Lonchura striata: one gene and its partners. The protein of the gene in region 3 interacts with the protein of the main gene of each other region in a pairwise test. Links are inferred from orthologs where the notes say so. Each region holds a gene or a part of one and is shown on either strand. Other genes may lie near its edges. The genes, in order: COPB1, PRC1, TRIM37 and FAM107A.

Region 1 (7,922 bases), on a different chromosome or scaffold from region 3:
CTTACTTATGCACAGTGCAATTTGTAGAACAGAGAAAGAAACACTTTTTTTGTGCCAGCCATCCTGCCCATCTAAAAGCTGCAGATGGGAGAAGTGGAGGAAAAGAGGTTTTTGGGGTTTTTTAAATAGTTGTTGTGTTTCTTTAAACAACAGTTTTTGAAAGAATTGTGTAAGAACAGTGATATGATCAGCAATATAAAGTATATATAAAACATGTTTCTGTGCACACATGTAGGTGTGATGTACCATGAAGCAAAACTCTTTTAAAAAATTTTATGCTCTAGCAGCAGTCGGTGTGAATTTATATATTTGTTTAACATTCTGTGGGGGTTTTCTTCTCTCTTTGAAGGATATGGGCCCTCACATCTTCCAGACTTGTCCCTCTGCAAACTATTTTGACTGCAAGGCAATGTCCATTGGTGCTCGTTCACAGTCAGCACGAACTTACTTGGAGAGGCACATGACTGAGTTCACTGACTGTGAGTAGTGGAGCTCTCTCTACCCACTGGTATTCATCAATTCTGCAGTTTATCTCCTGCTGCCACTCCATTCTTTTGCATTGAGTGAGATGAAGATAAATATTGTGAACCAAGTTTGGCATAACTGTAAATCTGCATAAAGACAAAATTTTAGAGAATATGGCTGAGATTTTCATGTCTTAACATGTGGGTGTTTATTTCATCTAATGGAAAGAAAAGCTGTGAAAAACGTTAAGAGCCTCTGCCCTTTTTAACTCAGGAAAAATGTTTCCATAGCAGAGCAGGGTTAGTATGTCAGGGCAAGTATTTAGGTGCTGCATTTAAAGTGGTGAATTTATTTTTCTTACAGGATGATGATGAGGAACCATTTAATACCTGCTTGGGGGGAAAAAGCTTAAATCAAGGCAGGGGTCAAAAATGGGTGCACTTGGCCTCAAATATAGGGGAAGGCTGGTTTCTCAAGGAAAACTTTTATAACCAGCTCTGCTCAGAAAGGAGAGGAAGTCTGGGAGTCAAGCTGATTTTGGAGTTGTCAGCTAGGATTAGGAAGAAGCGGAATGAGTGTCTAGAGGTAATACCATATAGGTTGTCAATGTCTTTCTGATCCTATTTTAAGGTAATCTAAATGAGCTAGTTAAACATGGACTGCGAGCCCTGAGAGAGACTCTTCCTGCTGAACAGGATCTAACCACCAAGGTAAGGACTAGGTTTCCTTTGCCATTGTTACTCTGAAGTAACTGTGACAAAATTCTTGGAAGTATGGCTGGCACCAAAACTTTGAAGCTGAATACTGCTAGATAATATCTTCATTTCAGGTTGCCAGTTTATCTACTGTTCTGTGTTCATCTCAGGTTTAAGTTTCTTCACAAAAACGATGCGTTCACTAAATAAAACACTGTTTCCATGGTGGCTTCACTCTATCTTAAGCTTTGATCAGTGGTTAAGATGCATCACCTGCGGCTGTAGAATCCCAGCTTTGCATTGTAAGCACAGTCAGTAATTCACCTGGGCGGTGAGTGGAGGTTATGCACCAGCAGTTTCTAGAGCATCCAGCATCACAAAGCTGCACAAACTTTTGACAATGAATTGAGGACCTGTTGAAGAAGAAAATTCTTAGAATATCCAATTATCTACCATTTTCCATGTTTTTTTATTCTTAGCTTGCCATGTTTTTTAGAGGTCATAAAATACTGAAAATCAAAATGAGTTGAAAATAAGTGGTTTTGAGAAATTGTGTGTGTTATTAAAAAGAAAATGATAGAAATTTAAACCCTTGAATGGCATTACTTAGAAGATTTTGAAATTTGATAGCTTTTGTAAATGAAAGCTGTAAAGCCAAAGTTAATTGCAGGAAAATGCTTCTCACTGCTTCTGACCCTTTGCTTGACAGAATGTTTCAATTGGAATTGTGGGTAAAGACATGGAGTTTACCATCTATGATGATGATGATGTAGCACCATTCCTAGAAGGTCTTGAGGAGAGACCACAGAGAAAGGTGAGTGGTTCAGTTATGAATAAATAGGCTTGGTTGAAAGACAATAGTTAGAGATTATCTATTATGTTTAACATAAATTTAACTCTACTACTGTACCAGAGTATTAGGAAGGTAATTTTTAAAATATGTAGTTACTATATGAACACTGCATCATCTGATAATTCAGATGCTTATTAAATCAGTTTATTCTGGATTTATGCCAGGCTGTTCCAATGTCATCTTCTTTCCTCATCTCTGATCAAGTAGGAGCTTTCGAGTTTTACAGCAGAAGTGGTTGCATATGTTTCTCATGCCCTTTGCAAGATGCCTCTGTAGTTTCCTAATTACCAACTATGTCCTGCTTGTGCTTAATGTGGGTAACAGTAATTTGTGAGCTGTTGGCTTACACAAGCTGCATTTACCACTCATGGTGCTCCAATGGGGATAAAGCTGATTTGTCAAGTGTTGTCTTCTGCCTTCCTAAAAATATTTCTTTTCCCTCTCTCTAAGCTGGTCCCGCCAGTTGAAGAAACTGTGGAGAAGGCAGAGGAACCGATGGAACACTAGTTGGTGGATGAGTTCCTCTGTTAATGTATAATTATCCAGGAACATTTATCCATTTGCTGGTAACTTTATCCTCACCTCTATATGTTTTATGATACTACATTCTGAGGATTGCTCGCAAAGAAAGAAACCAACCAACCCACCTATCCTTAAAAGATAGACAGGAGGACATATCTGGGTGTAACTTGGACAAGAAAGGTGTAATCATTTTCTAAATAGTACACGATACTGTTTTATAAAGAAAAGATACTGTCTTTAACTCATAAGGACAAGTGGAAATAAATCACTTTCTCGGATTCTGCTGTGAGTTTGGGTTTTTTTTCAGTCTGAAAAAACAGCTATTCACAAATAGCAGTGTCATGCCAAGCTGCCATTCTGTGTTTGACCATTTGTTAGAGTGTTTGCTTACCATGTAGAACTGAGGGGATCTTAAAATGCCTATGAAACCATAAAATAGTCATGGAGCAAACAGGGAACAGCGTTTACCTGTGTCAGCTTGTCCCAACTGAAAAGGCATTTGAAGCTGACAGTCAAAAGGTCAGTTTTTTTGGGGGAATTTGCTCAACCCCAGCTTTTTTAGAACTGCCAGTGTCTTTTTTAGAGCCATCAGCCAGTCTTGGGGCAGAACAGGGCTTTTAGCTCACTGAGGGCTGAATTGGAGTTAACAAAAACCCACCAGAAGTTCCCATTAGAGGTCTCCACGGCTTTGTCTCTTCAGCTTGGTCTGCAACTGGTACTCTTTGGATTTGGGCTGAATGCCACGAAGTCTGGGACTAACAGTGAGTTCCTCAGGGTCATCTGCCAGGGAAGTCCAGTGAATTGGTGCGACCTGGGCGGGATGCTGTATTGTAAGCAAGAAAGAGTTCGTGTTTTTCTGTGTTGGATCACTAATATAATTGTTCTCCCCAGTGATTGCATTGAAAATTGCAAGGAATAGTCTTCTGGAGTGGACCCACATAGGCCCTGATAGCCTGCTCAGTGTACTTGAAAAAAAAAAAAAGCCTGGAACCTTCAGATTAATAATTTATTAATATTTCTTAATTAAACAAAAATCAATAAATCATGGTGCTGTTTTGAACAGGCTTTCAATACTGTCTTGAATCCATACAAATAGTTCAGTCATGAAAATAGCAGAACAGCAGTGCCAGGGCTGCATATTTGTTTTTTAAGTGTTAGAAAAAGCTGCTTTTATTTTTCCTAAATTTATTTTTATTTTACGTTTTCTCTATTTTTCTATTTCTTTCCTCCCTTATTTCACCTTTTACTCATTTTTCCCTCTCTTATTCATTTTCATTTTTCCCCTTAATTACTTTTTCACCATTATTTATGTTTTCCACTTTATTTATTTTCCCATTGGTTTTTTCCTTCTTTTCCTTCCCCTTGCTTCCCCCTTGTTTTTCCACCCCCCATTTTTTTCTCTCCCTTTGCTTCTCCCCACATTGTTTTTTTTCTCTCCCTTTGCTTACTCCCCACATTTTCCCTCCCTTTGCTTTTCCCTTATTTATTTATATACCCTCTTCTTTATTCATTTCCCGTAATCTATTTTTCCAGTTCATTACTGATTTCCCCCAATTACTTTTTCTCCCCACCTATTTATTTGTTCTTATTTATTTTTCCCTTTACCATTTCCGAGCCCCCCTTTTATTGTCTTTTTTTTGGTTGTTATTTATCTAATTGCTTTCTATCTATATCTGTCTATATCTATCTCCATCTCTATATTTCTGTCTCTCTCTCTCTGTCTGTCTCTCTGTCTGTCTCTCTGTCTGTCTCTCTGTCTGTCTCTCTGTCTGTCTCTCTGTCTGTCTCTCTGTCTGTCTCTCTGTCTGTCTCTCTGTCTGTCTCTCTGTCTGTCTCTCTGTCTGTCTCTCTGTCTCTCTCTCTGTCTCTCTCTCTGTCTCTCTCTCTGTCTCTCTCTCTGATCTCTCTCCAATCATCTCTCTCTATTTCTCTCTATCATAATCTATCACCATCTATCATCTCTATCTAATAGCTAGATCTATAGCTATCTAATATCTGTATCTCTCTATCATCTATATCTATTAGCTATAGCTAATAACTATGTCCAATATCTATCTCTATATGTATCTATCATCTATATCATCTCTATATATCTATTTTATCTATTCTCTAATATCAAAATCTATATCAAAATCTGTGTCTGTCTATATCTAAATCTCTGTCGATATATGCGGCGCTTTTAATCTCGGTTTCGGCCGCTCTTTCCCGCTGTTTTCCCGGATCCCCCCGCGCGGGAAAACCCCGCCGCGCGCTCGGGCTCGTGACGTCACGCGCGCAGCCCCTCCCGGCCCCGCCCTCTTCCCGCGCGGCGGCGCCGCCCCGTTCGCGCTGGCGGGAGGCGTGTCCCGGCGCGGCCGCCGTAGGCGCGATGTGGCGGGGGCGGGCGCGGCTCCACGTCAGCCATCGGCGGAGCGGCAGCGCCGCGGGCTGAGCGCCGGGACACCGCCGGGACACCGCCGGGACACCGCCGGGACACCGCCGGGACCGGCCCGACCCCGCCGCTGTACGGAGCCGCGCGGCCCGCCCGCGCCGGCCTCGCGGGGCCGGGGGGAACGGGTGGGCGCCGCTGCTCCGCTGGGCGCCGCGAGGCCCGAGGCCTCGGGGCCCCGGCGGCAGCTTCCCGGTGTCCCCCGGCAGGGCCCCGGGGCGGCTGCGGGAGGGCTTGCGGCGCTCGGCGTGTGCTCAGGGGAATGGCAGGCGGCCGCGGCGCTGCGGGAAGTTTTGCCTCATAGCTTAAAATGCCCGGGTTTGGAGGGGAAGTAGGAGCGGGGACATTAAGGGAGAAATAGCCCCCAGCCGGCTGGAAATTTACCGGATTTTTTAGTAAACATTTGGAACGCTCTGTGCTATAATTGTGCCTCAGTGGAGCGCTGCATTCTCAAGGTTTGGTTCATTAGGTGCCCCCGTTCCTAAGGCTCCCCGGGGATGTAGGTGGCGAGCAGGCGTGGCTTTTTGTCTTCTGGCCTCTGTAAACTCTGCAACTTTCGATTTCCTTGGGTGCCCCATCCCTGCAAGTGTTCCAGGCCAGGTTGGATGGGGCTCTGAGCAACCTGCTCTGGTGATGGCAGAGGGTTTGGAATGAATTCCTCTTTAAAGTCCCTTCGGACTCCATTCATTCAGTGACTACCCACAGGTGACAGAGATGTTACCGCTGGAGAGTTAAAGCAGCACCTACGTCTGTGTCCCTGTGGGCTCTCAATTTCTCTGATTTCAAGTCTTTGTGCCTTGCAAGGAGGAAAACAGGTTCTCCCTGCCAAATCTCCCAGCTCTGTGTTTTAAGAGAGTTGTTTTTCATTGCTGCTTTTCAGAGCCCAAAGTACACTCATTTATCATGCTTCAGAGATATGTTTCACTGTAATTTTGGAAATTTCTGCAGCTGAGGTCTTTGAGTAAAGATACCTGCCCTGCTTTCACAAGGATCTACTTTATGGTCTGTGTGAGTTGTTCTTGTAGCTGAAGGTGCTGGCTGCAGGGCTTTGAGGCAGGAATTCTGGGTAACAGCATGGGAAATGTAAGCAAAAAAGCTGCTGCTGAGGCAAGAAAACAGTTGGGAAAGCCCTCTGAGATCATCAAATCCAACCTTTGATCGCCACCTTTGTCAACTGGAGCATGGCACTAAGTGCCACATCCAGTCATTTCAGGAATCGGTGGTTTATGTAGATATTTGTAAGCAACAAGATTGAGTGATCTAGGACTTAAAATACAGAATTCATAACAGGAAGAGGACTGTTTCCTTAAAAGTTTGTATTGCTAGTATTTTTTGGGGTGGTTGTTGTGGCACTGATTGATGCGAGTTGTTTTCCTCTGTGGAGAAAGGGACAGCAGCCCAGCTCAGCACAACTTCCCTGCTCCCTGTTCAGGGTGACGTTCTCTGGGTGCCCATTTGATGAGAAAAGGGAGTCTCAGACTTCCAGACAATTAATGTCAATAAAAGCTGATTTATTTTTGACACAATTTCTGTAGAAAGTACAAAATTGCTCATGTAATAAATAGTGACTGTTTTCTTTGCTGTGCTTTGTCAGTGTAGTATCACAGCATTAGCATTAGCCAAGCAAGCTCAAGCTTGAGCATTTTTCATTACTTAAGAAATAGAATAAGCAGGTTGATTTGATCCTAGATGTCTATTATATAAAGAATAAATAAACATGAGAATGAGGATTGATACAACAAAAAGGTTGATTTGATCCTAGATATCTATTACACAAGGAAAAACAAATCTGAGAATGAGCATTGAGCTTAATAGCAGATTTCATTACCTGGACTGCCAGGCACACAGCAGCTTAGATAGATCTGTAGCCTTCTTGTCCTTTTTCACCATAAAAAGACTTGGTTTCCTCATTAGTGTCTAGTGGAGACAGTAGAGTTGAGCTGATTTGATGATCCCTGGCGATAAAATGCTTCTGTCTCCTTCACTTTGTCTTCTCTCCCATCCTTGGTTTCTGCTCTCTTGGATCTCATGCTCATCTTCAAAGCTTCCTGCATAGACTGATTTGGTTTGTTAATTGAGCTCAGAACTTTATCTTTTCATTTTCTCTTTCTTCTGTGAAGCTTTTCAGCTGATTTTGCAGCTTGGGTGATTCAGCTGGAGGGACACAGGAGTGTAGGGAAGGTAGTGGGAGTATACAGCTGGGTATGACTTCAGAAGGGAGAAGCTGCATCCATTTGCCTTCAGTCAGGTGCCCTGTACACTTCTGTTATCCCTGACTGCCCAAAATATTGGAAAGTTTTTGTTCTTTTTCTGTTGTCTCTGAAAAATGTCATACTCTTCATCTTTGTGGTGCTCACAGGAATATTTCAGGGTGGTAGCAAAGCAAGAAGCCTTTTGCATGTAGCTTCTCAAGAAACAGCAATCCCTTCAAGCCATTAAGTCAGTTATAATAATATAATGATTTGTGTTTGTTAATAAAATCTTTTAACTTTGGGATGGCTTTGTTTGCTTGGTTTTTAGGTTGTCTGACATTTGTGTGAAAATAATTCTTCCCTTGAGAGAACTCCTGTAACCAAGAGCCATGACTGCTGCAGAGAACGTGTGTTACACGTTGATCAATGTTCCCATGGATTCAGAGCCACCTTCTGAAATCAGCTTAAAAAATGACCTAGGCAAGTATTGACAGTGATTGAAGGATACTCCATTTTGCCTGAATTAGTCACTCATTGTGCCTTTCCTAGAGTATTGTTTACATTTTGTAAGCTAAAACAAGTCTGTTTCATGTTTATTTTCTGTTGAGCTCTAGATGTATGTTCCTCTGTTTGCTGTGTTTAGAGAAATGTCATTATATAATTTTATTTCTTTGGTGTACTCCCCAGTCTGTGCAAAATCGGATTTTTTTTTCTTTTTGAGAGCGTTTTAAGTAATACCTGCTTGGACGAAGGCATATTTAAGCAGA
Region 2 (7,899 bases), on a different chromosome or scaffold from region 3:
GGGCAGTGGCCAGGGCTGCCTGTGGGCAGCACATCTCCCCGAGGGGCAGGGAAGGCTGTGTGGGGCCGCAGGAGGAGCGAGAGGGCAGCCTGGCTCCGGCTCTCCCCGCAGACACCGACTACGTGACAGCACTCTGCTCCCAAGTGGTCTACGAGGGGCTGGTGGACGACACCTTCCGCATCAAGTGTGGTACGTGACCTCTGTGCCTGGGGCTCTGTGCTCACACCTCAGGGCTCTGTGCTCACAGCAGGGCAGCTCAGGGCTCTTCACTCAGGGCTCTGCATTCACAGCTTGGGGCTCTGTGCTCACAGCACGGGGCTCTGCACTCACCTGGCCAGCGTCTGCAGGGTTTGTGCCTGGCATTGTCTGGCACCGTGCTGTTCCCACAGGGGCAGTCCCAGCGTGGGGTGCTGCTGGAGGTCATTCACAGAGAGTCCTCACTTTGACCAAGTGACTGGGCTGGTACCCCCCTCCCTGTCTCTGCTGCCTCTTACAGCAGGGCTCGTGCACGTGGGACAAAGCAGCTCTCCATTTTTCCCTGCAGGCAGTGTGGATTTTGGGCCAGATGTCACCTCTTCTGACAAGAGTATTAAAGTGCTGCTCAATTCCCAGGACAAAGTGAGTCCCCTTGGTGGGAGGAGGCACAGTGGAGCATTCCCTCCCCTAAGCTTGAGCAGCTGGAGGCTGCTTGGAGCATGGATTCAGGCACAGAGACCAGAGAAACCTGGTGCAGCTCCACTTCTGAACCTGCCAGAGTCCCTGCATGCAGGGCTGTGTCACAAATGAGTGTTTTAAGGTCACTGAAGGAATCCCCAGCAAAGGCATCTGCAAAAACAGGTTTAATGTAAAAGCTGCAGCATGACAAAATTCATTGGCAAAGTTCTAAATTGTTAAAGCACACAGATAAAAAGCAAAAAAAAAATATAAATCAATGAATCCACATCAAAATCAACCCAAAAATATCTACATGGAGGTCAAGGTGGGGAATGAGGGGGGAATCAAAAGAATAGAAAAGGAATACAGAAGAGCCTCCTGTTGAGTCATGGGGTTCATAGTTATTTTCCATCCTGGCCACAATTCAGGTTGTATTTTTACTATGGAATTTGAAAATGAAAATATTACTCCATGTGGGTTTTTACTCGGGTTACAAAAATAAGTTTCCCAGGCTGTTCATTAAAAAGCAGGAGGTGGTTCCTAGCAAGAGTGTTTCTGCTGAGCTGGGAGGACCCAGGACATCAGGGCTGATCCCTGAGGAGCATGTCTCAGATCAGCTGTGGCTGGGCTCAGAGGGACACACTGGCACTGCTGTGCTGCCAGCCAGGGCTCCGGGGCATGGGGTGGCACGTGGCCCGCGGGTTGTGCGAGCATGGGCCCTGGGCTCTGTCTCCAGGGCTGCAGCCAGCCGGGCCCTGGCAGCTGTGGTGCTTCCCCAGGTGTTCAGCCAGATCCGGAACGAGCACTTCTCCAGCGTGTTTGGCTTCCTGAGCCAGAAGTCACGGAACCTGCAGGCGCAATACGACGTGAGTGTCCCCCGGCACGCGCGTGGCACCGTCCCTCGCAGCCCGGCCACGACCCCTGCTCTCCCTCCCGCAGCGGCGCCGGGGCATGGACATCAAGCAGATGAAGGACTTCGTGTCCCAGGAGCTGAAGGGACTGAAGCAGGAGCATCGCCTGCTGAGCCTGCGTAGGAACCTGGGGGAGGGGCCCTCGGCTGTACCGCGCGTGCCGGGGCTGCGGGGAAGGCAGGGGCTTGGGGGTCCTGGATGGGCCCGGCAGGGCAGGGGCTGTTGGCATGTGCTAATAGTGCCTGCAGAGCCCTTTCCCCTCCAAAGCTGCTCTGTCTCTTGGCTGTGTAGATATTGGTGCCTGTGAGTCTATCATGAAAAAGAAAACCAAGCAGGACTTCCAAGAGACCATCAAGGCTGAACACTGTGAGTGCTGCTCCATCTGTGCCCACCCCGCCCCAGTCTGACCCACGGCCTGGCTTGCCCCAGGCCCAGGCAGCCTCATGCCTGGGTGTTCCCTGCCTGGCCACATCCTCCCAGCCTCTTTTTCTGGGGTTGTGTCAAGATCCTAGGTAGGGTCAGGCTGCGCTCTCTGAGAGAGAACGTGTGCTGGGGTGGGGGCCCCATTCCCTGGGGTGTTGGGAGGGCAGCGGAGCTCACAGCCCAGCTCAGCGGGCTGGCAAGAGCCCTGGGCTGATGCTGTCTGTGCCCCTGCCGCAGCGCTGCTGGAGGGCTTTGACGTCCGTGAGAGCACCAGCTTCATCGAAGAGCACATTGACCGGCAGGTGAGAGCACGGGGACGCCTGCTGAGCCGCCCCGCCCTGCCCCGCTGAGTCCCGCTCCCCACAGGTGTCCCCCGTGGAGAGTCTGCGCCTCATGTGCCTCCTGTCCATCACGGAGAACGGTGAGCAACGCTCTGCTGGGCCAGCAGGGCCACCGAGCCCCAGCCCGGGCACGGGGCTCACCTGGTGCTCCCCACAGGTCTCATCCCCAAGGACTACCGCTCCCTGAAAACCCAGTACCTGCAGGTGAGGGCCAGGAGTCACTGCTGGGCAAGGGTAGGGTCCCCTCCCTGCGCTCCTGGCCACGAGGCGCTGGGCAGCAGCGCTCCTGGGGCTGAGCCCCAGCACGCCTGGGTGTCTGCAGGACAGACCCTGCCTGCACAGGCTCACCGTGAGCCCCAGCTCCACCTGCGCCTGCGCTGTGTTTGCTGGGGGCTCTGAGCACAGAGGGGCTCTGTCACAGTGTCCCCTGTGCCTCGCCGCAGAGGGCACAGCCTGTCTGCTTCCCGTGCTGGCAGACAGGCCCACACTGACGCTGCTGCCCCGTTCACAGAGCTATGGGCCCGAGCACTTGCTGACCTTCCACAACCTCAAGCGCATCGGGCTGCTGACTGAGCAGTCAGCTGGGGAGACCCTGACAGCCGTGGAGAGCAAAGTCAGCAAGCTGGTGACAGACCGTGCCGCAGGTGAGCCTGCCCCGTGTCCCTGGCAGCCTGGGAAGGGCAGCTGCTGGCCCAGAGCTGGCTGGAGGCATGTGGCAAGCGTGTCCCCAGCGATGGTGCTGCAGGCAGGGCAGTGGGCTCTGCCCTGGGGGCACCGGAGCTGGCAGCCACCACAGCCATTCTCCAGAACACACAGCTCTGCACACCTCTGCCAGCCTGGGCTGGGATCCAGGCAGAGCCTCTTAAGGTGTTTCTCCTCGTCATGTTTTCCAGGAAAGATCACTGATGCATTCAATTCTTTGGCCAGGAAGAGTAATTTCCGAGCCATAAGCAAGAAGCTGGGGTTGGTATGTCCTCAAGGGGTGCTGGCTGGCCACACTGCCCACAGAGCAGAGAGCTCTGCTAGCCTGTGCCCAGGCTGCAGGTTTGGTACCGCAGGGGGACACAGCTCAGGGCCAGAGCTGCTGCAGCTGCTCCAGGCAGCCTGCGGGCTTCTCCTGGGGGCTGGGGGCCACTGCCAGCTTTCCTGCCCTCTGTGCTTCCCCCACTCTGCCCTGGTCCTGCGCCCTGTGAGTGTGGAGCAGCACTGGGCCTTTCCTTGCCCCCTTCAGACAGCAGTGGCACTGGGCAGGCAGCCCTGTGTCCTCCATCCTGAGGCAGAGGTCCTAGGCTGCTGGCAAGGTGACGTTTCTGGGGCATTTCAGGGACAGTTCTGTCCCTGGCTCCTGCTGCACAGCCCACCCAGGCCATGTGATGGTGGGGCAGGAGGTGGGGACGGAGCCGTGCTCCAAGCATTTGTCTCTCCTCACCCCTGCACCTCTGAGGGGCAGTGAGGCCCCAGGCAGCCTGGTCCTGTACCCCTGGTGTCCCCTGTCACCGCAGATCCCTCGGCTGGATGGCGAGTACGACCTCAAAATGCCTCGGGACATGGCCTATGTTTTTGGCGGGGCCTACGTGCCCCTGAGCTGCAAAATCATCGAGCAGGTGAGCCCGTCCACTGTGGGCACATCCCGCAGCCCTGCCTCGCCTGGGGAGCGCAGCAGGGCTCTGCCCAGGGCTGGGGCCGATGGTGCCGCTGCTCCGAGCGCTGGGCCGTGCCCAGAGCCAGCCTGAGCCTGCACTGACCCCCAGGTGCTGGAGCGCCGGAGCTGGCAGGGCCTGGAGGAGGTAGTGCGGCTGCTCAACGGCAACGAGTTCTGCGTCTCAGGTACTGGGGGGCCGGGCGGCGGGGCCGGCAGCCGGCACGGCCTACAGCACCCTGCCCTTGCAGACAGCACTGCGGAGGACAGCCCTGCCGGGGAGTCCCAGCGCGTTGTCCTCGCCGTCTTCCTGGGGGGCTGCACCTTCTCAGAAATCGCGGCGCTGCGCTTCCTGGGCAAGGAGCAAGGTAGGGGCCGCCTGGAGCGGGCAGGAGCCGCCGCAGCTCGAAGCCAGGCGGGCTCTGTGCTCTGCTCGGCGAGTGGAGCCCGCGGGCACGGGCCGGCAGTGCCGGTGCTGCCCGCAGCGCTGCCGGGGCACCAACGCGCCTTCCCTGCAGGGTACAAGTTCATCTTCTTGACCACGGCCATCACCAACAGCGCCCGCATGATGGAGGCCACGATCGAGGCCAAGGCCTGAGCCCCGTGGGCAGCGCGCCAGTAAAGATCCGTGCTCACACCGACCCGGCCTGCGGCTGTCTGTGTGCGGCCGGGCACTGCGGGAGCGCGGCCCCCCGGGACCGGCGCGGCCCTGAATCGGGACGGGCACGCGCGGGCAGCTTCCGGGGACGCGCCGGCGCGGGCACGCGCTGGCGGCTCCCGGGGACGCGCGGGCCCCGCCCGGGCGCGGTCACGGCGCGCTGCCGGATGCAGGCGCGCGGGGGCGCCGTTACCGCGCAGGAGGCGGCGGCGGTCTCGCTGCGGATTGGCTGGAAGCGCTCAAGGCTCTGCGCTACCATTGGCTGGTGGCTGGGCGGGGGCGCGGCCCGGTTGGCGGTTGTGGGCGGGGCCGCGGCGGCGCGGCAGCCAATCAGCGCGGGCGGGGGGAGTTCGAATCGGCGGAGCGGCGGCGATGGAGCGCGGAGCGACCAGGAAAAGGTGCGGGACCGGGAAACATGAACGGGAACGGGGAACCGGGGGGAACCGGGCTGCGGGCACAGCTGGGTGCAAGCGCTGCGCGCCGGGGCGGGCGGTCCCGGCGGGACGGGCGGAGGCTCTCGGGCCCCGAGCCGCCGCCGCCGCTGACGGCCCGCCGTGCCCAGCGAGGTGCTGGCGGCCGAGGCCGTGTCCTGCCTGAACCGGGCCATGGCGGCGCTGCGGGACATCTGGGAAGAGATCGGCATTCCCGAGGAGCAGCGCCTGGAGCGCACGGACGTGGTCCGGAAGCACATCAAGGTGAGCGCGGCGTCACCGGTTCTTCTGTTGAGCCGCGCAGCGGCAGCCCGGGACCCGCCCAGCGCGGGGCCGGCTCTGCGGGGAGCACCGGGGGTCTCCGCCCGGCTGTTGCCGCTCTCCGCCCTCGCCCCGTGCAGCCCCGGGCTGCCCTGCCTCTGACCACACCTGTGCCGCAGAGTCTCCTGGACATGATGGTGGCGGAGGAGGAAAGCCTGAAGGAGCGGCTGCTGAAGAGCATTGCCCTGTGTCGGAAGGAGCTGGACACCCTGTGCAGGGAGCTCCAGCTGGGCCCCTTTGAGGTGAGCTGTGGGACCCTGGTGTTGTTCTGGCAGCACTGCTGCTGCCTGGCCTCTGCCTGGGTGTCCCAAGAGGCCAGAGCTTAGAAGGCAAATATCCATCCCAAACTGCTTTTCTGGGAGCTTGGTAGAGCTAAGGGCTTTGTGGCCCCTCACAGGCCAGCACTGGTAGGGGGTTTGTGGTGTTCTCCAGCACACTGTTTTGTGTGTTGCTGGTGTTCATGCACCTTCCTGGGGAGCATCTCACTCAGACCCAGGCCTGGCGGCCCCGGGCTTTGCATAAAAACCTGAAGCATGAGCCAGGTGTGGGAGAAGTCTGGAACAGAGCTGATTTCTGGCCCCTTGCAGACAGAGGAGGAAAGCACCATCCTGCAGATGGAGAAGAACCTGCGCACATGTGTGGAGGTGCTGCAGAAGCAGAAGCGGGACCGCAAGCAGGAGCTGAAGGCCCTGCAGGAACAGGACCGAGCCCTGTGTGATATCCTGTGCACAGCCCTGTTCACCATCGACACCGGCAGCGTGCCCAGCCTGGAGGACCTGGACCGCTACCGGCGCCATGTGGCATCCCTCAGCACCCTGAAGGTGAGCCTGCAGGGTCAGGGGGCCTGAGGGGCTCACAAGGGGCCCCTGGTTCCTGACACCACCCTCGCCCTCAGGAGCAAAGGCGGGAAGAATTTGTCACCAACAAGCGTCAGATCATTCTGCTCATGGAGGAGCTGGACCACACTCCGGACACCAGCTTTGAGCGGGACGTGGTGTGTGAGGATGAGGAGGCATTCTGCCTGTCCCAGGACAACATTGTGGCCCTGCAGACGCTGCTGCAGCAGGTCTGTTGTGCTCTGAGGCAGTGCTGTGGCTGCCGCCGTGTCGAGAGCGGGCGCTGGGCTCTGGCGAGGCTGTGTGTCCGAACACGGGCCGCTGGGGAGCTCTGGCGTGCCGGCACGGCCCCGCGGGCGCGGCAGGCTCGGGCTGATACCCGCTCCCTCTCGGTGCAGCTGGAAGCCCGGCGGGCCCTGAACGAGGCAGTGTGCGCGGAGCTGCGCACCAGGATCCTCGCGCTCTGGGAAAGGCTGCAGATCCCCGAGGAGGAGAGACAGGCCTCGGCCGTGCACCTGGCCGGGTCCAGGGCGCGAACCAGGAGAGCTGTAAGAGCCCTGTTGTGCTTGTGGAGGGAGGGCTGGGGGCAGCAGCTCTGGGATCTCACGCTCCTGGTTGCTCAGGGAGACCAAATTCTGGCCAAATTCTGCCTGCTTGGAGGGAGGTGCTGGAGGTTGGTGCTGGCAGCTGCCTCATTCTAGAGAGCGGCTCACGCAGAAGATGAGCCCTGTTCTCCCCTCTTCCTCCCTGACCTGTGCTCTGCTCCCGGCACAGCTGCAGCAGGAGGTTGACAGTCTGGAGGAGCTGAAGCTGCGGAACATGAAATCCGTCATCCACGCGATCCGGGCAGAGCTGGCTGACTACTGGGACAAATGCTTCTACAGCCAAGAGCAGAGGGAAAGGTTCAGCCCCTTCTATGATGGTGGGTGCTGGCCATCCAGGCAGATCTGGGGAGGAATCCAGGGGTTCCAGCAGCCCCCTGACCTGGCTGTTGTGCCCTTCCAGAGGATTACTCAGAGAGCCTGCTCGAGCTGCATGACGCTGAGGTGGGCAAGATGAAGATGTACTACGAGACACACAAAGATCTGTTTGAGGCTGTTCAGAAGTGGGAGGAGAACTGGAAGCTGTTCCTGGAGCTGGAGGTATTGTCCAGGCTGGAACATGTGGGGTCATGGCTCAGCGTGTAACTCTGCTCCCAAGGGAGAGCGCTCTGGGAAGGAGCAGGGAGCCACTGGGAAGCCGTGATGGGCCAGTACAGGGATGAGGTGCTGTGTTTTGAGCACTGGGGTGTTTGTGCAGGGCTGGCTTCTCTGGGGCCTTCATCACATGTGGTTGAGGGGATTGGGTGGTGTGTTTGTGTCGCTCCTGACCACCCTTCTCTACCAGAGTAAAGCAAGTGACCCCAGCCGCTTCACCAATCGAGGAGGAAACCTTCTGAAGGAGGAGAAGCAGCGAGCAAAGCTGCAGAAGACGCTGTCTAGGGTAGGTCCAGCCCTGGGGAAGGACCTGTGGTCCCACTGACACAGAAAAAGGGATCCTTGGGTGTGGGGACACCTGTGTTTAGGGCAGCCCCTACACTGCCCTCATGTTCTGATCAGCTGCAGGAGGAGCTGGAGAGGAAGGTCCAGACCTGGGAGGAGGAGTTCAAGGGAGCTTTCCTGGTGAAGGGGCAGCAGTTCATGGAG
Region 3 (7,181 bases):
TGATTGAACAGCAGGTCTGAAAAAAAACTTAAAGCTTATAAATTTAGTGCAACCTGCACTGAAAAAGAGATTGGTCATAACAGGACAATGCACCTAATTCCTGATATTAAAAATACCTTACCTACAATGAGGGCACTGAGCTCTTTGTTCAGTCAGCCAACGCTGTGATGGAAAAAGGAGAAACCTTTTTAAACAGACTGGAATGAAAGAACTGCAGGCAAATACGTTCTATCATTAATTAGGAGTTACTTTACTTTTATTACAGCTTTCCTATATGTTTTCCCTGTTAAGCAAATTTTCAATTTAACTGTTCAACCACTTAGTCACAGAAAAAGCTTCTATTTGTGTCTTAGGAACAAGCCACCACTTGTCTTTAGATGTCAGAGATGCTTCAGTTAAAATTATATAGAGAATTTTGAGGTACCAAATATTGCATTAGAAACCACCCACCTGGCAGATTCCCAGAGTCTTAGACTAAAGAGCATGTTTCAATAAAACAAAGAAAAAGACACCACAAGCATCTTTTTCACAGTCTAATTAGTATTCGAGGTAATTTATTTCTTCTTCTTGAGTTATTTATAGACAAATTAAATACCTGAAGTTCAGTGATCAAATCCACAAGGAGCTTGGGAGTTTTTCTCTTCCAGAAAGCTCCAGGGACAAACAGCTGAGCAAAGAACTTCACCTGCCCACTACAACTCACAAGTGTAAAAGCTCAGCAGTTGATGGGTTTATATTTGTCAGCTCTCTACTACATTTAAAGAGTCTCATGAATAATCTCTCACCACCCAGCAACAATATGTCATCTAAAATCCTTCATATGCAGCATGAATCCTTCACCTACAGCTCTTGTCAGAGCTTCCAGAGTGAAGGATGAATGTCTGTTCTAATTTCTGGAAATACTACTGAGGTCTGGAAACCTCAGCTGAACTTTTTACTGCTCCAGCAACACAAAACAGCATCTGGATTTGGAATTGGAGCGTGATACACTGGGAACCACGGCCTCAGCAAAGGAATGAGGATTCAGGTGCTGCCTCAGACTCCCCTGAGAAAGATTTAGCCCCACCTGATCACACCACACCAGCCTGACAGGCATTATAAAACACCTCCAGGATACACGAGGTGATGCTGTGACCTTCCCAGGTGCAAAGTCAGCGTCTGATTTCTGTCCCAACTTTTATCTTCCATACAGGCATCACCAACTCTCAGGAGGTGCTAAAGAAGGGATCATTGTGTGTCTCTTTCTTAAAGCAATTATTCCAGATGGTGCCTATAATTAGCACCACTGAAGGCAACGCACAGCTTGCCTACTTCTTCCTCAGGGGTGTTATAAAAGGTTTTGAAAGGGAAACTAAAGAAGGGGAAAAAAACCAAAAAAGGAATCCTTGGAACTCCAGGAAAAGAATGTTTTCATAAGCTCAATCAGTTTGCAGCTCAAACCTTTGAAAGAACAGACTACACCAAGCAAACTCACCCTGATACAGCTGAAACAGCAGAGCTTGGAGCAGTGAGGGCACAGGCGGGCATCCCGCAGCTTCTCCATACAAATAAAACATCGGAACACCTCGGCAATGCTCTGCAAAGGGGGATTAGCACTATTGTTAAACATGCTTCAGACGCACCAGGGCTGCATTTGCTTCCCAGGCACCGAGCCAGGTTTCTGTCCTGTTTCAAACAGCACATCTCCGAGGGAGATACAACCTGCGCACCACAACTCTCCCTCTCAGCTTCTCCTACACTGCACCAGCACCTGTTTTATAACACTATTCCCTCTCTCCAAGGAATACTTTCTGTTTGAACTTCTCTCTTTTGGAGCAGGACTTTCTGTAGCCAAGACACTCTTGTATGTGTTCACACAGGATTGAGCAGCTGCCAGAAGAAATGGTGTTGTACCTGCAGGCAGTGGACTGGCACTAAAATATTATTAGATCATGGTAAGTGCATGTATGTGTAATATAAAAGAGGTGTTGAAATGAATTGGGTATTTTTTTTTTACTTTTATAAGACTTATATTCTTTTAAGGTCTTACCATTAGCATTAGCCCCACAATTTTTACACTCTCTCCCACCCCATTTAATCAATCTTGGGTTCATCAATCCTTTCCAAATGAGAAAGGTATTTTGAAAGCAATGTTTCCATACTTATAATTTTTAAATGATAAGGAAGTTTTACATCTTGTATCATACAGGAGTTTTAATACTTCTGGTTATAACTCTGGAACTTCGTAAGGTCCTTCAGCTGAGCTAATTTCCCCACAGCACTGAGATTGTGAATCAGCACAAAAGCAAGACATCTTCAATTTACAGATACCACAGCATCTCCCACACATTCAGGTCTCCTTTAACAGCTGCAAGCCATTGAAACGCACCACATGCGTTTACAGGAGACCATCGCAGCCGTTCTTTCTTTTCATTCTTCCTCAGCCTGGCTGTGACACAGTCCCCAGCAGGTGTTGGAGCTGCCGGGTCACAGCCGCTCCTGCACCTCCGCGGTGCCAAGGCGGGCTGGGTGTGCGCCAGGTCTCCATCCATATATCCCTGCATCCCTGCATCCCTGGATCCATCCCCCTCCGGAACTGGCAGCCGCCAGCTCATTTCCTACCCCCTCCCCACCTGCTGCCTGCCTGCCCACCCGAGCCAAGCCCCGCAGCGCCGCAGGCTGTTCCCAGCGCCGCTCGCCACCGCTCGGCCTTTCTTCCGCTCCTCACACAGGGCACACGGACCCTCCGAGGGGCTCCGTTAAACCGGGAGGGTGCGGAGGAGCCGCCGCCGCCCCCTCACCGCCCTGAGGGAGCGCGCGCCGCCCGCCCGCCCGCTCACCTCCACGCTCTGCTCGTCCATGGCTGCGGCTCCGCCAGCGGCGGGAGCAGGGCCGGCTGTCCCCGGCCTCCCTGTGCGTGCCCGCGGGCGAGGAGCGGAGGCTCCGGGAGCGGCGTTCCGAGGGGCAGAGCCCGTCGCGGAGGCTCCGCCGCGGCCCCGCGCACCCGCCGGGCCGTGACCGCGGCAGCGCGGCCGCCCCGCCCCGCCCGCGCTGCGCATGCGCGGGGCCGCCCGCAGGGGGCGTGGCGGCGCGAGGGCGGCGGCGCCTGAGGGGAGCGGGCGGGGAGAGCGCGGCGCTCGGGCTTGCCTCTACTTTACTTTAATGTCCTTTACTTTTCCTTATTTTTCTCTGTTATTTTTATTTATTCTTTCCTTACCCGCGAGGTTTCAGGAGAGGAGATGGGTTTTTGCACCCTACTGGCAGCTACCTTCAGTTATTATAGCCAGCGTTCACCAATAAATTAAATAAATTAAATAAATTAAATAAATTAACTAAATAAAAAAAATTAATTTAATTAAATAAATAAATAAAATAATGTTATAAATAAAATAACATATATATTATAATATAAAAGTATATATCAAATATAAAAATATATTATAATATATAATATATAACATATAACATATAATATATAACATATAACATATAATATATAACATTAACATATAACATATAACATATAATATATAATATATAATATATAATATAATATATAATATATAATATATAATAAGAACAATAAAATTTAGAAATTTAATGCTGCTGTTGGTAGTGGCACAGCAAAAATGGAATCCTCTATTAGAAGATCAGTGTGGTTAAAAGCTACTAAATCAGTGTGTGAAGCTGATTAATTGCTTGAAACTGATTAGTTACTTCTAAAAGGGCGCACATGGCAGCAGGCATTATAAAATCAAGTTATCCCTGTTCTTTCCTCTTCAATACTCAACCTGTTTCTCTTCCCATCAAACCCTAAAGCAGTTCAAGGATGGGTTCAGAAATCAGCCTTTCCTTCCCTAAGAGCACTAAATTAAATTTCTCTCCTTTGACAGACATAATTCTTCACAAAAAAGAAAAATTAATGAAAATTAATTTTTATTACAGAGAATTAATAAAAATTAATGTATCTTACCCTCTCAAATTAGGCTGAAATATAACAATATGAATATTTAAAAGTATATAATATATATAGAATGGACAATATAGAAATATTACACATAAGAAAACAATGTTATGATTTTCACTGTTAGGGTGGTCAAACAGTGTAACAGAGGTTGTAAATTCTCCATCCTTGGGAATTTTCAGGATTTTCAGGGGCTTGGACTGGGCAGTGCCCAGAATTCCCTTCTAACCCTGCCTGGACTGTGAAAAACCCAAGGGAATTCACATCAAAGGGAAATGAATCAGCTCAGGGAGCAGGGTGAGGAGTCACACAAATGAAGTATAACAAATCTTTATTTAGGAATGCAAAGACAATTAAGAGGTTTGGATTATTTGCCTTTAAAAGACCCTCAGGAATGCAGCAAGGAAATTGGAAGCATCACATGGCTCACAACATTCCTTAAAAATGCATCAACCATAATAATTTAAACAGGTAAGGTAAAGTGCCAACCTCAGTGTTTTTGAACTCTCCAATTTCAAGTATTATCAACAGAATATTTATACAGAAATATTAATAATTTTCCTACAGGGGAACTCTTGTTTCAGAGAAATTCTTGCTCCTTAGTAATCCAGGAGCTGGATCAAGATGCTTCTGTGTCCGAGTAGTTTTCTTTTAACTCAGCCAATTTTATATTTCCTTGTTTGTCGACTTCTACAATCCCCATTTCTTTCAGGATTTGAATTTTTATATTAGTGGCTTTCTTAATTACTGTTTTCATCTGTGTAAGACTCAGTGCTGCTCTGTAAAACGAAAAAAATTTAGTAAAACAGGGATCAAACATCAGCTCTGGCAGAAAAAGGCTAAAAAGCACATGCTGTTTAATCAATGAATTTGTGAATGTTCTGTAAATCTCAAACTTATCCAGATTACCAGCAACTTTTCTATGCCACCTCAAATCCCAGCAGTCATTTGCTAATCTTAGGGCTAAAAAGACAGAATTCCTGAGTTTAAAACTTCATTTTCTTTGTAACATCAGCCTGTAAGAAACCCCCAGCACTCACCCCAGAGAAGGGGAGGGCAGAGTTTGGGCTCATGGTTTAGTCTCAGTTCTTTTAGAAGTTAAAATATGCATAACTAGCTGCTTTTATTTAATTTGAAAAGGCTGAAATTCTTTGCAGTTTATAAAAATATTTTAATGAATGGCTTTGAGCTTTACCTGTTGTTCTGTACAATGAAATGGTTAAACAACTCCCTGTACAAACAGTTCAAGTCTGTTAACTTAACAGTTCTCCTGATGTTCCTGGGCACTCTCAGAAATGCTTCCTTTGTCAATGGTGTGAACTGGGCTTCTAAAAAATTGGAAACAGAAGATATTTGTTAAAAAGAAAGGAAATGGAAAATATTTGTTTCTTTAGAAATTGCATCAAAGATAGAAAGTGCTTCCATTAGTGTTTAAAAACACCTCTAAGTGAGATTGAAGAAAGATTTTCCAGCAAGAGAAATGAGAGAAAAAGACAATCACTGGATCTGGAGACTGAGTAAAAAACCATGTAATTTGAGATCTGATGAGGATTGACAAATTTGGTCTGTCAATGACCAACTGGCTTTGTTTTGGTTATTTTGTTTTTTTAAAAAACAAACAAAAACCAACTGTGAAAATTCTTTTCTATAAGCAGGGATAAATTAATTTTAAAAGAGCTATTTCTATGGTAAGATTAGTGCACCATTTCTTCCAGAGCTTAAACACAACAAGATTTCCACTTCAATCCCATTGAAAGCAAGGGAAAAAAAATCCCAGAAACATGGCAACTATTCCTGGAATGTAACTCAGGGGTCAGGTCCTTCTAGTAAAGTCTAAATTCTTAACATAAAAGCAGTAAATATTGGTGCTTGGGAGGGAAAACAGTGAAGTTACTGCCTATCACAGCCTCTCTGAAAATAAATCAGTGGGAAATTTATTTTTTTTAATCACTTACCTTCAGCTGAGCCAGGGACTGGAGATTGTGAGCAGAATGGCTAAAAATAAACAATAATGTCAGTATTTGTTAGTGTTTTGGCTAGAAATCTTTTTTCACAGTTTCATTTCTGCATGAAATTTACATTAATTACATTTTACCTTTGGATAACCAAAGCAGCCACTGAAGTCAACAGCAAAATCTTAGGGATTAAGCACAGTTTAAAATGAAATTAAGTTTAAAATGGATACAGAAAGATTTATGTGCAAGTCAGATGAGCCTCTCCACAGGTTCCATGTAAACCAAGTGTGGCAATAAAGGGACACAAAGTGAGATGTGACAGTGGGAAGTGAGGAGAAGTTGAAAAAGAAAAGGTCAATCAGAGAAACAACCTCTGTTAACCTTCTCTAATATTTTTAATATGAGACCCAGAGCAAACATTTGCAGATAATTATAATGGATAATTACATCTCGAGCTATGGGAGAATATCTGACTTTTTAACAAATATTAATTTAGATCTAAGTTCTACTGCATTGCACTTAAACTAGATTGTTACTCATATCCCAAAATTTAATATTTCACAGGAAATTAAATTTCTCCCCACATTGGTTTCAATCAATGACATCCCTCACTCCCACCCAAATGTTTCTTTATCAAGAAGATCAACAAGAGCAACCAGCTGCATTCCCAAGAAACATAAACATATCCCAATTAAAAAATAACAGGAACAAAGTCTTCCATCAAGGGTAATTTCTCCTTTGTGGAGCATCTAATTGGAACAATCAGAAAAGCTTAATCTGTACAGAATAAAAATGAAAAGGTTTGTTAAGGAACGTAATTCCATTTCTGAAAAATTATCTTCACTTGAAAGGTATCAAATCACAAAATCAGCCCCTTCTGCAGGAATTAAATGTTTCTGGAATACTGCCATTCCATGCCCTACTTACCTCTTTCACTGGAAGTTCCATTTCTTCCCCAAATTGCAAGTTTAACTGCTGGGTTGCAGCCTGTTCTTCTGCTGACAGAGGTAAGCTCTGGGAAAATAAGGAAAAGTAAACACAGAGAAGTTTGATCCTTCAGTTCCTGAGGTGGTATTTACAGAGGGACTCAATGTTTGTGCAGCCCTTTGCTCATGGAAACTGACAGTAGACTCCTGATTTCCTTCCACTGAAAACAAATGCACAAGTAAAGTGTTGCTGAAAAATCAACAATAATCTTCCTCTAGCACCAATACTATAACTTAGTCAAGCAGGAGAAATTTTTCAATTAAAAAAAAAAAAAAAAGGTATTTCATTTCAAGACT
Region 4 (6,886 bases), on a different chromosome or scaffold from region 3:
GCTCAGATGGAGGAGTTTTAAAGGATGTTCTCAAAGCCCTGTTTTCAGCATGGGCAGCCAGGTACTGTGGTTTGCCTGAATAAGCAGAACCTCTCTCCCTGGCACTGGCGTGCTGCCCCTTGTTGTTCTAAACCAGCCACAGAGCAAAGCTCCCTGCTCAGCAGCAGGGCTAATCCAGGCTCATCTGACATTAGTGTAAACTGACACTCTTGGGAATTTGGGGACAGAGAACTTTCCCTGGGGAAACAGCCACTATGCAAACTCTGTCTTGAGAAAGCATGGAGAAAAGAATTGTAGAGGTGCAGGTGCCTGGGAACAACCTCCTCCACTGCCAGAGGGTATGGAGCATCTGCCCTGGCACCCTGGGAATCTCTTGCTGATGAGGCTGTGCTTTCAGATTATTTGAAGGATGTTTGCTGGGGTTAGAGGGATGTCAGCCACACCAGTGGGGCTGAAGCCCTGCAGAGCAGAGGAATCAGCAGGGAATCATCACCAGCTCTGCAGCACGCACGAACCAGCCTGTGGCAAAGTCCTTGCCTTCCCTTCAAGAGAAGGGCAGCCCAGCAAAAATCTGTGTCTTGCTGGAGCCCTGCTGTTGGCTTGGGCCCACAGAACACTGGTGATACGAGAAGAGTTTTTTTGGGACTAGATGCAGCCTTTTAAAATAAAAATGTCCTCGGAGCCATGCTGGCAGCCTTTCCGGACCCTTTTGTTGTGGAGCTGGGGATTGCCTTGCACTCCACAATCCACTACTGTAATCCCCTTGGAGTGCTGTTCTGGACTAAGCCTGAAAGAGGTGCAGCTGGGACTGCTAATGCAGGCTGTGCTGGCCAGGGGTGCTGAGCCCTGCTCTGTGCTCTGGGTCCTCTCTGGGCTGCTGCTGACACATGGGCTCAGCCCTGGCAGGTCCCTGTGCCCTGAGCTGTGCCTCAGGTCCCTGAGCCCTGGTTCTGCAAGGGCTGGGGGAAGGGAAGCTTTCCTGTCACCTGGACTCATCCTGCTCTTCAGGAGAGCTGGATCCTGCTGTTCACACCCACCCTGGAAAGGCAGCAGAAAGAATTGTCTTGTTTTCATCTCCCACCAGCATCAGCCTAAGGGTAAAGAACCAGGAGCTGCCAGTCAGACGTCCCTGCTTGGTGCCAGCTGGGCAGTGGCACAGGCTTTTGTCAACCCAGGCAACATTCGGGAGGCTGAAATGGGAGTGACATCTCTGACCTTTTGGTACCCATGAAAGTAAAACTGTCTCAGCTTTTAGGAGCTGCCAGGAAGCTGGAGAGCCTGAGCTCCCAGCAGCATTTCAAAGCCAGGCCATTCAGTGCTGGGCTGTGGTGGGATCGTGGTGTTTCAGAGAGAGGGAACAGTGGGCAAAGTTGTCCAAAAGCAGCCTGGTCTGGTGGTCAGGAGGCTGGCATGGGCTGCTTTGTATGCAGCGGGGCTTAACTGGGTGGCACTGAGCCAAGCCTGACCTAACCAGCTTATTTCCCTGCTCCCAGTAATGCCTCTACAAATGCGCTGGGGCCTGAAGGTCAGGGCCACGTGAGCAGGGGCCTGGGGATTAGCTGTGGGCAGAGCATGGCTCCTCCTGGGTGTGTTGTAGTCCTGAGCCACAGGAACAGCCACAGGAACAGCCTCGGCTCCTGTGTGTGCTGGAGCCAGCCCTGCCTTGGGAGCTGGGATGGGAGCTGGAGCAGCTGGGGCTGGCTGGGAGCAGCACCTCCTGCACCTGGCACTTGTCAGAAGTCCAGAAAAACAGATACATCTTTACTACTCCCACTCCAGCTCTGATTTTCCTTCTGGGTGTTGGTCACGCTGGCCAATGGCCAGTTTTTCACATGCTTGCCCTGCAAGGGTGTCTAGCTTTGGCTTTGGAAGAAAGTCCAGCAAGTTGGCAAAATTCTGAGAGGCACTTAGTGACCATACCTCTGAAGGCCTCAGTCATACTCAGCTGAGCATGAAGGGTCCCTGTTGGGGCAAAGGGTCACCTCTGTCCCCATTCCAGTGGAAGTTATTACCTAGTGTAGTGCACAGGAATGTTTCTCTTAGACCTGGGAGATGAGCTATGGAAGTCTTACTCCAGACAGGGCATTGCAACTGAGCAGGGATGATGCATCTCTAGGCACTGATGTCATAAGCCATGGAAGCAAAATGACATGCAACATCCTCATCACAACCATCTCCAGCCACCTCTGCAAGGCTCTGACTCCATAAAACTCTCCATTTGGAGCTATTTGACCACTCTCCCCAGGGAATCTGGAGGACAGGGATACGCGTTGGTGCTGTGGGACCCGGCCCAGCCCCTCCCTGTCCTGGGAGGGAGTTGGCATCAATTCCCAGGCCAAGAAACACTCAGGACTTGCTTTGCCCTGCATCTACAGGAGACATCCCAGAGGCTGCTGGAGGCATTCAGAACAAATCTAACATTTCTCCCTAGAGAACAAAACTTTGTCTGTCCTAAAGCCACACTTGCAATGCTCTCACCCCCTCCTTGCTGTCCTGAAATCCCCGGCAGGCCGCGATGCTGAGCCCATTAGACGGAATTACTTAACGCGGCGCTGCTGGGAGGCACCACACCCAGGAGCGGTCCCTTCCCTTAATCGCGGCTGCCGCAGCACGCGTGGGGCAGAGCGGGTCCCATGTGAGCACAGGGTGCCTTCTCCATCACCTCTCGCACCGCAGCCCGAGGAGAACCGCCCCGGCAGCTTTTTACCTTTTTGCCGTGAGACGCCCCCATGGTGGCTGCGCAGGCTGCGGGAGCCGCCGGCTCGCTGCGGTCACGGCCCCGTTACAGCGGCGGGGACAGGCGGCCCTGCTGCTCCCGGCCCCTCCGCCGCTGCTGTGGGGAGCCGAGGGTGAAATCCAGCCCGAGTGTGGCGGGCTCGGGGGGGAAAGCTCGCTTTTCCTCCCTTCTTCCAGCACGTGGAGAACTCATTTTCTTCATGCACCTAACGGCTGGCTCGCACCCAGGCTCTGCCCGGGCACAAAGGCAGCTTTCATGCTGTGGATGCCCGGTTTCTAAGCCGGGATCCGTATTTTGAGAGGCTGTGGAAGATTACAGTAATTGCACTTGACAGGGCAAGATGTCACAGGATGCGGATTCGCCCAGCTGCGGCCCGGCACCCGCAGGTCCTTGCCTGTGGCATCTTTCCTAGATACTCCTTTGGTGCTTTGCCCAAATGGACCCTTAAATATAAAGAAAGATTATCCCTCTTCTGCCTCTGTATCCTGGCTCCCAGCTCCTGTTGCAGCACTGGATTTTGCAAACTTTGCTCCCACAAACACCCCAGGTTGCCTGTTTGCTGCTGCAGCCTTGGTGCCTCCTGTGACCCCAGGTGAGCCCAGGTTACCTGAAGCTGCATTCTGGGAGTCTGGGCGGCTCAGGCTTGTGTTTGGTGAAGATTCTGGGGATGCAGCACAGTGCAGAGCAGCCAGGTAGGTGCCTGTCCCTGCAGTAATACAGCTTTCAAAATGCCACAGCACTGCAAAACTTCATTTGGAGATTGCTGTCCCTGCACCCACTGTCCTTTTCAGATCCATTTAAAGAAATTAGTCAGTTCAGTTTGACTCATGAATTCATATTTATTCTCTACCTCTCAGTGTCTGGATATTTAAAAAACTCTGATTTATTTATCAGGACACAGGGACTTTGGCAGGAATGACTCTTGAAAACACTGGCTGAAGGTCCCTGCACAGGAATTGCATTTTTAGCTCTCCCTATTTCTTGAAAATAGTGATGTACCTTAGTAACTGTTCTGTGATGGATTCAGAGCTAGTTTTAACTGCCTGTAGCATGCTGAAACATAAATTTCCTTTATTTTGGCTTTAAACCAGATTTCTAATGTGCATTGCAAGGGGTAGGAAGAGTTTCCTGCGGCTGAATGGGGCTGGTTGTTTTTGGGGCTGTAGTTGATGCTGTGCTCTGGTTTGCCCTGTGGAGCCACCTTTACAGCTCTTGGGCTGTTTTCAGTTTGCTTTATGAGTGAATCTAGATCCTTTGAGGGGCTTAAAATAGTTGGCATATTTATGCTGGCAGCTCGCAGGGCTGTTGTGTCTGCTGGTTGTGTTATTTCTTGCTGTGCCATGGGTAGGGATGATTCAGCGCTGGGGATTAACCGCTGTTGTTGCAGCAGATTTAGGGATCGATTTATGGCAGAGGTTTCCCTCAGTACCATCAGGTGTGTGCTAAGAGCATGGGAGGATAAGCTGGGATAAAATACTACACCTCTTCGGGGATTCCTCTGTGGTGGCTGTTTCGGGGTTTTATTTCAGTTCTGCCTTTGGAAGCCCTTACAGGTGTTACACAGTTTATGTGGGGATTTTTCCTTGTTTAGGGAAAACTGATAGATTGGTGGTGTTGAGTTTTGGATCCAGGGTTTTGTTCCACAGGTGGCCAGCACAGAACAGGCTGTGTCCTTTCCTGGCCTTATCCTGCCTGTGCTCCTCACTTCTGCTCCCCTGGGGTGACCTGAGAGCTCCCATAACCCTGTGAAGTGCCCGCTAGGAGCTGTGCAGGGGCTGTTGCATGCAGAGAAGGCTGCTCCAGGAGAAACACTCCATCCTCATGTTTTGCAAAACTGCTGGTCTGCTTCAGAGAATGGGGAAAAACCAGATACAATCATCGGAAATTAAAGTCTGTATGTGATGCAAATTCATCCTTGTCTCTGATGGCAGATAAGCCCAGCCATCACCCGTGGAGCTCATCTGATCCCAGCAGCGCCGGGGCTCGGGGAGGGGCTGGGAGCAGACCGTGCTTGGCTGGTGCATCTGGGCAGGAGTGGGGGGCAGATGCTCCCCAGGACCTGCTCGGTGCTGGGGAGCAGCGTGGGGACTGCTCTAGGAGCACTGTGGGGCTTTGCTGCTCGCCTTCGGGCAGGGATCTTTGCTCTCCCCGTGGTGCCGGCTGGCCCAGGCTGGGCTGCAGCTCCCGGTGTGTGGCTGACCCAGCGGTGCCAGCCCGGGCGCGTTGTAGCGCTCCGGAGCGGTGCTGGCCCCGGCTCTACCGGTAAAAGGCTCCCACCTATTGGTTGTGTTGCACAACTTCAGCTGCCCAAGAAACCCTGCACATCCATCCATCCATCCATCCATCCATCCATCCATCCATCCATCCATCCATCCATCCCTGAGGACAAAGCAAGGCTGGCGCAACCCTGGCATTATCCTGGCCTTTGATAGGGGTGTGCCACAGAGGATTTAGCTTGGATTTAACCTGGTGTAAGAACCTGATAATACGAGAAAGGCTTCAAAAATTTTTTTGTCATTATGTCTGCTTATCATCATCACTCTTGAACACCTGAAAACTACGGGTGGGATGGACTGCCTTGAGACCCATAAAAAGGAGTGCAAACCTTGTGCAAAATGTGGAGGGAAAAGCGAGGGGCAGAATCCTTGACCTTTGCCTTTCCCCTGCCTCCACCACCATTGCCTGCTGTGGGACACCCTAAGGCCTCCATGACACTGCCTGCTTGGGGAGGAACCCCTGATCCTGCAGCCCTGGACTGAAGTCAGGAGTGAGTTGTGGAACCCTTGCCTGCTTCTGTGTCCCATGGCAGGGAGGGAGCACCACGAGTGGACCAAGGTTTGGCTGCAGAGACCGGGCATGGCTCCTTCATCCTAAGGATGGGTGGCTGCATCCCAGCCAAACTGCTCCTGAAGTTGGGGGGGCAGATAAGATAATTCAAACAGCAGAGAAAGAAGGACAAAACCTGCTCTGCTCCCCACACCCTGTCTCAGCAGCAGCCAAGGTAGTACGGTGAGGTGATGACCTATCCTATGCTTTTAAAAGTAACCTTAGTATTTTCGAACTTTTCCCTACTTTTCACTTTCTTTCTCTTTGCCTCTCTTTCTATTAAATCAAAATCTATCAATTTTTTTGGTATCAACATTTAATCTTGCTTGTTTTTTTATCTTGTTTTTGGGAAGATTTTGAACCTTCAAAGTTCTTTCTATTTTATACATAGAGACTTATTTTCTTTGCTCTTCTGGGTTTAAACCAGTTTTTAACACCCAGGAATGATGCTTTGGTCTGTAAATATTAACCTACATTGCTGTGTGCTATCCCTGTGGATTTCTGGCCATATTGTGGCTGTAGGAGACTGTAGGACATTGGCAAGAGCTCCAAGGGGAAACCACCAAAGTCTGAGCATCCCCAGGGATGACTTTACCCTGTGCCATGTGAGGAGGGGGAGTCCTGTGTGCAGGGCTGTGGGATGGGTGATGGTGATGCTGGACTGGTGGCAGAGGACCTGGCATGCTGTGCCTGTGGGAGAAAGTGTTGATTATGCTTGAAAATGGAAGGCAGAAGGTAGTGTTTTGTAATTAGAAATCTCATTGAAGAAATTTACAAAACCTTCTACAAAGTTTTTAGTTAAAAGATAGAAAAATAAAATACCCCAAATTGACCCATTGATGAGGATGGCTTGGCTGCAGTCTGGCCACGTGTCTGCTCTGCTCTGCAGGCACTTGTACAGCTCTTCTCCAAGCCATGCACAGTTCCTGCTGTGAAACAGCCAGTTCCCATGAGCAGGCAGCAGCTGCTGGGCTCTGTGACCTGGCAGTGGAGAGGCTGCAGTCCCCACGATGGGGCTGGTGTCCCTGTGTGACTGGTGAAGCTGCCCTCCATGGCAGGCTGGAGTTTGATGCTAGTCCATCTTCCTGGGGGCACAGCCCTCCATCTCCAACAGCTCAGGCCAGCCCTCATATTTATTTGTCTCTCCATCATTTTTAATGTACTGCAGGAATAAGAGAGAGAGAAGATGAATAAGGAGGTTGGAGCAGTGCAAGTTGGAAAGGTGGCAAAAGCTGCAGCTCGGTTTGGCGTGGGGGACAATGCCACTGGTGCTTGTCTTCTGCAGGCAGGTGGGTGAGATGTAGCTTGGGGGGTGCCATGGAG

The links.
Region 1: the proteins of TRIM37 (region 3) and COPB1 interact in binary tests that used the Homo sapiens proteins (3 or more experiments, as listed by UniProt). The two-hybrid records come from large-scale screens. The link is inferred for Lonchura striata from reciprocal best matches to the Homo sapiens genes TRIM37 and COPB1.
Region 2: the proteins of TRIM37 (region 3) and PRC1 interact in binary tests that used the Homo sapiens proteins (3 or more experiments, as listed by UniProt). The link is inferred for Lonchura striata from reciprocal best matches to the Homo sapiens genes TRIM37 and PRC1.
Region 4: the proteins of TRIM37 (region 3) and FAM107A interact in binary tests that used the Homo sapiens proteins (3 or more experiments, as listed by UniProt). The two-hybrid records come from large-scale screens. The link is inferred for Lonchura striata from reciprocal best matches to the Homo sapiens genes TRIM37 and FAM107A.

What each region holds. Positions count from the first base shown.
Region 1 is NC_134608.1:50,406,413-50,414,334, forward strand, and holds the start of COPB1 (coatomer subunit beta), read left to right. Parts: upstream 1-4,906; 5' UTR 4,907-5,091; intron 5,092-5,288; exon of another isoform or gene 5,289-5,418; intron 5,419-7,483; 5' UTR 7,484-7,544; coding exon 7,545-7,635; intron 7,636-7,922. Other genes in the region: PSMA1 (proteasome subunit alpha type-1), read left to right, coding at 350-479, 1,096-1,175, 1,870-1,974, 2,464-2,520. UniProt on the Homo sapiens protein: The coatomer is a cytosolic protein complex that binds to dilysine motifs and reversibly associates with Golgi non-clathrin-coated vesicles, which further mediate biosynthetic protein transport from the ER, via the Golgi up to the trans Golgi network.
Region 2 is NC_134613.1:24,372,981-24,380,879, forward strand, and holds the start of PRC1 (protein regulator of cytokinesis 1), read left to right. Parts: upstream 1-4,883; 5' UTR 4,884-4,998; coding exon 4,999-5,024; intron 5,025-5,188; coding exon 5,189-5,321; intron 5,322-5,497; coding exon 5,498-5,620; intron 5,621-5,965; coding exon 5,966-6,199; intron 6,200-6,273; coding exon 6,274-6,444; intron 6,445-6,612; coding exon 6,613-6,762; intron 6,763-6,988; coding exon 6,989-7,136; intron 7,137-7,219; coding exon 7,220-7,356; intron 7,357-7,600; coding exon 7,601-7,696; intron 7,697-7,812; coding exon 7,813-7,899. Other genes in the region: VPS33B (vacuolar protein sorting-associated protein 33B), read left to right, coding at 112-189, 545-618, 1,434-1,520, 1,594-1,684, 1,857-1,931, 2,226-2,290, 2,355-2,409, 2,487-2,533 and 6 more. UniProt on the Homo sapiens protein: Key regulator of cytokinesis that cross-links antiparrallel microtubules at an average distance of 35 nM. Essential for controlling the spatiotemporal formation of the midzone and successful cytokinesis.
Region 3 is NC_134622.1:9,024,417-9,031,597, forward strand, and holds the start of TRIM37 (E3 ubiquitin-protein ligase TRIM37), read right to left. Parts: upstream 3,006-7,181; 5' UTR 2,841-3,005; coding exon 2,820-2,840; intron 1,577-2,819; coding exon 1,475-1,576; intron 163-1,474; coding exon 122-162; intron 1-121. Other genes in the region: SKA2 (spindle and kinetochore-associated protein 2), read right to left, coding at 4,563-4,722, 5,139-5,271, 5,899-5,938, 6,826-6,912. UniProt on the Homo sapiens protein: E3 ubiquitin-protein ligase required to prevent centriole reduplication. Probably acts by ubiquitinating positive regulators of centriole reduplication.
Region 4 is NC_134614.1:15,843,238-15,850,123, forward strand, and holds the start of FAM107A (actin-associated protein FAM107A), read right to left. Parts: upstream 3,006-6,886; 5' UTR 2,732-3,005; coding exon 2,708-2,731; intron 1-2,707. Other genes in the region: protein FAM3D, read right to left, coding at 6,636-6,725. UniProt on the Homo sapiens protein: Stress-inducible actin-binding protein that plays a role in synaptic and cognitive functions by modulating actin filamentous (F-actin) dynamics. Mediates polymerization of globular actin to F-actin. Also binds to, stabilizes and bundles F-actin.